2 linked regions of the Oryzias latipes genome follow. The protein of the gene in region 1 purifies or fractionates together with the protein of each later gene. This does not show direct contact. Links are inferred from orthologs where the notes say so. Each region holds a gene or a part of one and is shown on either strand. Other genes may lie near its edges. The genes, in order: med13l and cdk19.

Region 1 (4,455 bases):
TGCTAAAACCTTCTTTAATTTAGCACAACTTTTGGACACATTCAATGTAAACATACTGGTATACAGTAGGGATTCCCTAATCGGTTTAATGGTGTAACATGTGGTTCGGTTTTTGAGTGACAATTGTGGTATCCCTAGAAAGTAGCTTTGTGCAGCTAGATGAATTTAAAACTGCAAGTTTTAAACAGGATAAACGTAAAAACCTGTAATTCAAGTCTTAGAATTTCCCATATCTGGACACGCAACCCATTTGTTAGTCTAATAAGTGAAAACAGGGTTAAGGGATGAATGCAACACATGGACAACTTACAAATATATACCCAACAACTGCAACTTTGCTAAAAATCTGTTGCTGTGTTGCAGAATCCTAACTTGCACCTCTAACCTTTCCCTGCACATTCCTTCACTGTAAACCCAACGATACATTTTTCCATCCCTACATTTGTCACTGTAGCCTCTAACCAGGACACTTGGTGTGTCATTAGTGTTTTGTCCCATCCAGGACTCCCCTGCAGGAACCCTGCCAGTGAGTAACTGCTGAGGCACTCGCCAGTCATAAATATTCTCAACAAGCCGGCTGATGGATGGTTTCGTTCACCCTCAGTTTGAAAGGGATGTTCACGATGGCCAATAAAGCCACAGTGAGTGAATGAGAGCTTTTTTTTTCCCCACAAGGGAATAGCCACGAATGAGACGGTGACAGAAATGCAATCGTTGTTTTCTATTGTGTCAAGCTGAGAAGATTTAAGACTGCTTATATTGGGATGCATCTCCCCATGAATGCGTAGAAAGTCACACAAGATGCTTTTAAAAAGTTAATGGGGTAGCTTTAAGTCCCACACACTCCCTGCTTTTTACACAGTGCTGTAAAAAAAGGAAATATTTCCTCACTCTCTTTGTGATCATTCGTTCAAACCTCCTTTAGTAACATGTTTTGTGTACCCTTGCAGTGATTTGTTTAATGTAATAGGGACTGTTATTGCTCCTCAACCTGCACCTCACCTGAAAAGCCCCCAGGACCCCTATGTTGTTGTGGTTCTCAGCAGCCTGAGCCCAGTCCACTGCATGCCTTTCCACTTGACTGCCTGTTGTGGTAAGACAGTTAACTCGCTGACTACAGGATGAAAACTGTGAAAACACTCTGCTCTTTTCTCCTCCGCCCTCAAAAACCAGAGTTGTGCACAAGAAAGCATGACACTGCACTCAGTCAAAAAAAAAAACCAACCCATTTTTTACATATATATTAAATGAAAGTGATATGCTTGATTGCCAAAAGCCATCTTTGTTGTGTGACATGTTTGTTTCCTCAGTGTTCCTGAGGTCATGGAATTCTTTTCACACATAAAACTATTATTAGGAAATATTTCAATAGAAATATATTTGAGAAAGACAGCTTCGTTTTTCCAATTGTTGGCAATAAATGCGTAAAATAATACCATAAGAAGAGTTCCTGCTGGTTAGGTATGTGGAGTGTGCCATCATAACAGCCTTACTGGAGATCTTTTGTTAATGATTGTCAAATAACATCAGCGTTTGGTTCACTTTTGCGCACAGACACACTGAAGCGTGCCTCCCACGGTCTTATGACTTTGTCGATCACAACTGCCTGCCTGCCTGTGTGTGTGTGTGATGAACAGGATTTATCGTACCAGAGAGAAGATGTTGGAGTGGCAGTCCTCAAGGCTTGCCCCGTTAGCCACCCAATTCGCCGATGCAGTCATAATCGTCCGCCTTTGGGGTCGTCAGCGCATGGCATGTCGAAATCCTACATCGGTTGCTAGCACCGAGCAGGGGGTGACGAATCGGTTCCCCTTGTGAGTCTGCCGAAACCAGCAGGCTTAAACCCTCACAAGGAGGTCCCGGATAACAGGCTGTACGGGATGGTCGGTGGAGGAATGGGCGTATTCAGAAAGAAGTGCAGAATGCATCCAATGAAGCCCGAGCTTTCTTGTAGCCTGAACGCAATAAATCCAAGCATGTGCGGGGATCACAACATTACAATCCGGTCCGGGCGATTCCACATCTGATCGCTGACGGAGAGCAGCTCCATTTCTTCAATCCACACACAAAAGACCAGACCCTTTCCAGAGCAGTCTGTCCGCGGATAGTTTCGTAATTAAATCACCATAATCCATCAGAGATCGAGTGCCGTCTTCTGCGCCCAGGAACAGAAAAATGCAAAATTACGCATCAACTTTGTTCTTTAGACGAACCGCATGCGCATGATCGACGGCGCGGAGAAATAATAAACGCGCAGATATCACATGCAGGATATCTGATTCCGTCTGCTCCAACAAGCTGATGCACCACTTGTGATAGTTTTCGAGAATTGCATGCGCTATTTATAGCCTTCTTTCTTGCCACAACCGTTCCTCTCACAATGTAACCCAGCCAGGCTCACACAAAACAGGCGCTGCGAGCACGAACGAAGGTTTTAATCCCTCTGTTGCTTTTCAATCAAACGATCGGGCAGGCTGTAGAATGAGAGAGGGGAGGGGGGGGGGGGGACAAAGTCGAGCTCAGAACCATGAGTCAAACCGCTCAGGCAAGAAAAAAGTAAAACACTCCAACAGCAGGAAAACGGCAGGCGACTGTAGACGGAGGTTAGAGAAAAAAATCCTTCCTTCCTTTCAGTTTTCTATCATTACGAAACGTCCTCGCGCGGCCACAAAAGCCTCAGTCTTGCTCAAAAACATCCAGTACTATTTCTACAAAAAAATGTACACTCGAAGCAGCACACACAAAAAAAGTGGCCCTCCTCGTCTGGCGCCGAATTTATTGACAGGAAAGAATATGTGGCGTGCGTTCGATTCCCCCCAATGAATCCGCTTTCTTCAAGAGAAATGAATTGATTGTTGATTTAAATCCTCAGACATGTGCATGATTTCCTCCACCGCGACTGCTCCTTCCTCATTGTTTATGTCTCGCAGCGGCGTTATTACACTGAGATGGGCGTGCGCAGCCCGAATGTGTCACCCTGTGCGTGCGTGCGTGTGCGCACATGTGTGTGTGTGTGTGTGTGAGAGAGAGAGAGAGAGAGAGAGAGAGAGAGAGAGAGAGAGAGAGAGAGAGAGAGAGAGAGAGAGAGAGAGAGAGAGAGAGAGTGGGCTTGTTTTTACTCGAAGCTCCAAAGCGTCTTGTTTTCTGCCGCAAAACCATCGCGCATTGTGATGTAATGGAGGTCTGAAGCTCAGAATCGCTTTTCCCAGTTGGCCAACTTTGTCATCACGTGACCTGAATCTGGCTTTTACAATTCAGGTTTCTTTGATGCAGCTTTAAGAAAAACAAAAACATGTGAAGTTGTTTTTTTATGGAAAATACCAATAATTAAGGCCTGTGTTGTTACTGCTTATTTTGTTAAGACGATTGATTCTTTTTTTAATACTATTACATTACTATTTACTATTACATAAAGGCCTATTATAAAGGTATACATATATGGGTCCTTCCAGAATTGGAGGACATTTGGGCTTCAAAATTCCTGAAAAGTAAACCTTCACTTTTCTGATCTTCTGCTGCATATCTATCAATAAGTATTAAACTGTCAAATGCTTGAATAGCTAAACTTACTGATCAATTGTACATTTTTTTATTAAATTATATATTTGTTGTTTACAACATTTTCCAAATGTTTTTGCAGGTAACAGGGTCGAAAATGTTATTTTAGCTATCTCTCAGGAGTGCAAGCCAGTTGTTTAACTAGCTGTTATTGATCACCAAGAGGACGAACTTACTCTTGTAAATAAGTAATTCTTCTTCTACCATGTTAAAAAGGTTATGGTAAAGGGTTGCATGTACATTGTGGGACACTTGTTCCTTTGATAACTGTTTTGTTGAAGATTTAAATTTGGACATAGAGGGGGTGGGACAAGGAATAAAATCGCATTTTTTTAGGGGCACTCAATGCTTATTTGGTATTTTTTAAACAATTGTAGGAATTCTTTTCTTGTAGTTTTTGTAGATTTTGTTCCAGTATAAGTCCTTTTTATTAACTGCAGGGTTTTTTTTTTGTTTTTGTTTTTTTTTGTATTTTGTATGCAGAACATTTCATAATGTGATGGTTGCGACATAAAATGCCCTCCAATTCGAAAATGACCCAAATACATATCTTAATATGCTTTAAGAGCGTTAAAATATATACTTCTCATTGACATTGTGAATGTTGGAACACTGTGCAAGTGTTTGCTTTGCAGTAAGTCTTGACTGTGGGTGCAGCATCCATTCACTCCACATGTATGTAACCTCTCTGAGTAGGATTACTTGAGTCGTCTCATTCTAATACATCCTTGTTCTTACGGTCCTGTACCTTATCAACTGAGCTGTATATTTGCTATGCACAGTAGCAAGAAAAAGTATGTAAACCTTTTGGAATTATTTGGATTTATGCATGACTTAAACAGAAAATGTGTTGAAATGTTTATCTTTGTAACAACAATAGAAAAACATTGCTTAAAC
Region 2 (4,464 bases), on another chromosome or scaffold:
GAGATTCATCAATTGCATTAAGGAGGGAAAAACAAACTCATATTTAAATGTCTTAACTGAAATGGTTGGAGTGCTTTATTAACTCTGTACAAGTTGTTTTTCATTGACCGTACCGGCAGATGAGCCAGAGTCACAATGGAGTGTTGTGAAACTCATCGTGTAGGTATGTGGCTGAATCAGCAGCGCTGATCTGACCATCCCAGATGACGAAAAAAACTCAAACCCAGTCAAGACGTCCAGTTCCATACCACTTTCATCCTACATGTAAACATTTAAGGCTGCTTTCACACTTCACACAGTGTCTCCCCAAAGAAAGTCTGGGAAGGAAAGCGAAGCGTGAACAATAAAACAAGTTTGACCTCCTGATCCATTTAAAAGAACCTCCAGCTCATCAACACAATGGACGATCCACTGAAACAAACCCCATTCCAAGAATCGTCCAATGTTCCCTTCGTCCCTATGAAAACATGAATATACAGAGATTCTGAATCAACTCAAGCAGTAGGTCCCACAAGGAGTATTTCAGAACCTAACCGTAGGGTTCTGTCTTTTGTTTTCCATGGTTGAAAAAGGAAGAAAGAGACAACATTTGGATTTCAAAACAGGAGATTTTTTTAACTGGAGCTTTTATTGTTTTTATCGTTGACCGGTTTCTGAACTTTACAGGGTAAGATCAATATCTACTTGATTTATAAAATATGTGTGTGTTACAAACATTCACAGCTGTTTTATGAAACAGAACAATAATTCTTGTGACCCTTCTGTCGTCATGGGAACCAGAGATGACTCTTTAGCCACAACATCTGATAAGGTCAGTCTGCTTTCAAGGTTGTGAGCTTTTCTTGACGGTATGACATTCTGAGGCCCAAACGGTCCTTTTGTGTCCACCTCACGCATCCATCCATCATCCAAATCTGCTGAATACCTGTTGGGGTAATGGGGTTACTAGGGCCCATCCCAGCTGCTATTGGGCGAATTGGCCCATTGACTGCACATGACAACTGGACTGGGTAATCCCTCTCCCATCACATTCTAAATAGGAAGTACCTGCTGGTTCCTAGCAGCCCAAATCCCACAGACTTCTATTGAATAATAAACAGATATTACTCAGTCGTTCTATAGGTCCGAATAAACATTCTAGCTCTGCTACCCTTTTTAACATGTTCTTGCTAATCCTAATTTATTTTCCCATATTTTTTCTGTAGTGCAAGCTATTCACATTAATGACCAATCTGATGCCTCAATAAAAGTATGTGGTCTAACACGGAACGTTTGAAGCGTTTCATTGACAGATTCTCCTAGGCACGCTTTCAGTTGATAAAGGTGTGGACTTTCAACAAGTTCACTCCTGATTAGCGAAAGTTGTTGCCATAGAAACATTTACTCAGATCAATCACTGCTTACCAACATAGCAACATGCATATTGCAAAAAAAAAAAAGGCAACTGAATTGACTTCATTTAGTGGAACCAGAAGCAAGCCATTTTGTATGGGTGATGTCGGTCCAGTTCTCATTTACAGACAAGATCTGGACAGATCACCAGTCTGTCACAGGACCACACAACGAGACAAACTCACATCTAGGGACAATTTTGAGTCACCAATTAACCCTTGATTGTATTTTTGGACTGTGGGAGGAAAGATGAGTTCCTGGAAGAAACCCACACACACACAAGAAAAACATGCAAATTTCATACAAAAAGGTCCCAGCCAGGATTCATACCAGGAACTGCACGCCAAGAGTGCTAACCATGCAGCCCTATCAAGCTGCAGAAAAAAAAGTTCAAAATACAAAACAGCATAAAGTTCTAACAAATCTGTACCGATTTCCTACAAAACTGCAAATTTTAAAAGCAACATCATGAAGATCACCTCTGACTGACCACAGACTGATGAACTCCACCTTCAAACAAAAACCCACAGCTTCTGTTTTAAACTCCGAGCCTTCATGCCTGCTGTTTCAAAGTCCCACAGAGGGTCTATGAAACAGCAGTCATGGGAGCATCTGAGTCTTCCTCCTGCTCCTTTGATCTAACAACAAAGGTGTTGCTGGAGGTACACACGTGACAAACTATTACTAAAGTTTGACGTCTCTACTAGAGCCAAAGCTGCTGCCTAAAAAAGCCGCGAGGCGCAACGCGGTCACGTCGACCTGCGTCCGCGTGAACTCCCCCCCCCCCCCCCTCGATAAAAAAAACAACAACAACAGCCGCGTTGTTTTAACATTTCGTCTGGGACTTAGTTTAGAGGGGGGGGGGGTATTCGCGCGCATTTGTATGTTATGTGTATGTGTGAATGAGTGTAATCGTGGGGAGGGGGCGTTGGTGGGTGAGTGAGTGAGTGCGCGCGTGCGTTCCATGAAAACAAAAACACAGAGGTTTTTGCCTTGGTGGGTTTCGAACCTACCGAGCCGCGCGGCCCGTTAGTGAGATCTGAGACCGCGAGCAGCAGCGAGCGGTCGATATGAGACTTCGGAACAAAACAAGAACGTTCACGGTTATCTTCTTACCCGTCTTTGCGCTTAGCTTTATAAACGTGCCCGTAGGTGCCTCGACCCACTTTGCAACCTTCATATTCGAAAAGATCTTCCACTCTCTCCCTCTCCGCTGCCAGCTTTGTTTTGAAGTCGTAATCCATTTCAACCCATAAATACGTCTTAATTTACAAAAAAATAAAATATTAATTATTACATGCATTCATTAAATAATCTGGTCGTTTTATTCCCCCACCATTTCCTTGTTTGGGATTTTGGTCTGCTCCGCTTAATGTTCACTGGCTCGTTGACGTTTCTAATTGGCGCGTGTTGCCAGATGGGTAGTGTAGTTCCAATGGGACGTTGACACCATTGAGGAAACAGTAAAGAGAAGGAAAATAAACTACTACCCGCGTTTCTTGATGCGGTTTGTTGCACTTTGCGTACTAAAGAACTTTCTTCAAAAATGTTCCTCTGCTGTTTGACTTTATGGAAATTTTTGTCTGAAACATCAGCCATTAATTGAAAATATTATTTCCTTAAAACTTGTTTTACCACTAATAGTAGTTGCAGTATTCATTTTAATAAGAGAAAAAAGATTTTAAAAAGTATTAATTATGATGTAATAATTATTTGATTATAAATACTGTTGTTGTTAAAATCTAACTTTCTCCGTAAGTAAAAAAAAAATTATCAAAATTATTGTTGTTAAAATCTAACTTTCTCAGTGAGTAAAAAAAACCTGTTTAAAGAAACTACTATAATGAAAACAACTGTATGTATATCTCTTAACAAAGCAAATGCATACTAATTTTTATATTGCATTTATACGTTATAGCCTATGTGATCATAATTTTACTGGATAAAGGATTCAAATGAGGGGGGAACCTCAAATATTTTGACCTGTTACTATTGTTTTCTATAAAAGATAGAGTAGATACTGTCTTTTCATTATTTTTTTTTTTATATTCGTGGAGAAAATTAATCTTTGAGCTCCAAAATTGTAAGTAAATGTATTTATGTATTTGCTTGTATATTTAAAAAAAAACAATCAATCATCCACCCAAGTAAATTAGTACAAAATAAGTATTGATAGAAAAAAGACAGCTTTTTAATTATACTTTAGACTTTTACAAGTTTTCTTTAGACCTAAACAAGTTTAAAGAATAAACGAACGTGTCTATTACGTCACAGTGTTTGAGTCATGAGTGACAGATCCCTGGACCAATCATAAAGGAGTAAATAAAACCTCACCAGGAGAGTGGCTCAGCGCACCGCTGACGTAACGGCGTCGTTGTATAAAATCACCGCGCGCCGCTTCCTCAGTGCTCTACACAGTATGGCCGGCGATATTAGCTAGCGCTCGCTTACGTTGTTCTCTGCTACAGGGAAGACGGTAACTCAAGACAAGCAAACAACCAGATTGTTAAAATACTGTACCTCAATAAGTTAAAGCGAACCAAGGAACGACCATTTTAAGCTGTAAACCATACTACCAAGGTTTGACAGACTATTGAGGTGTCTGTTGTCTCATCATGATGATGGAGGATCAGGATAACGGTGCACATTTCTTCGAGGGGACCGAGAAGCTGCTGGAGGTCTGGTTCTGCCGCCAGGATGACACTAAGGGCACCGGGGACCTCCGCTCTATCCCAAGGTTTGTCTTCTCCGTCAGTCAGTGGTTTGGTCGTTAGCCTCCGGACCACATGCGCGGCCTCGTTGCTATGCTACGTCGTCGTTCCTTAACGTAACTAGTTGTTGTTTCCGTAAATAACCGTAAATGTCTAAAGCTTTAACTAGTGAAATTGTGGAGTTAGGGTCTTTGAGCCTGATGTTGGTTAGTTTGCAACCCTGGAAACAGTGGAAAATGGCCACCTCCCCCTAAGTGTGGTCCGTCAACGCTGAGTCATTCATCGGCTGCTTCGGGAAGACAGCAGCTCCCGAGTCGTGGTTGTCCGTCACCTGCTCGGGGACGAATCACCCGTAAAACTG

Evidence for each region.
Region 2: the proteins of med13l (region 1) and cdk19 purify together in Homo sapiens (affinity purification with mass spectrometry; 5 studies listed by BioGRID and IntAct, counting the BioPlex papers as one, with this or other methods). This does not show direct contact. The link is inferred for Oryzias latipes from reciprocal best matches to the Homo sapiens genes MED13L and CDK19.

Annotation. Positions count from the first base shown.
Region 1 is NC_019870.2:12,442,591-12,447,045, reverse strand, and holds the start of med13l (mediator of RNA polymerase II transcription subunit 13-like), read right to left. Parts: upstream 2,929-4,455; 5' UTR 1,722-2,928; coding exon 1,650-1,721; intron 1-1,649. UniProt on the Homo sapiens protein: Component of the Mediator complex, a coactivator involved in the regulated transcription of nearly all RNA polymerase II-dependent genes.
Region 2 is NC_019882.2:10,351,535-10,355,998, reverse strand, and holds the start of cdk19 (cyclin-dependent kinase 19), read right to left. Parts: upstream 3,005-4,464; 5' UTR 2,732-3,004; coding exon 2,729-2,731; exon of another isoform or gene 2,655-2,728; coding exon 2,509-2,654; intron 1-2,508. Other genes in the region: amd1 (S-adenosylmethionine decarboxylase proenzyme), read left to right, coding at 4,008-4,129.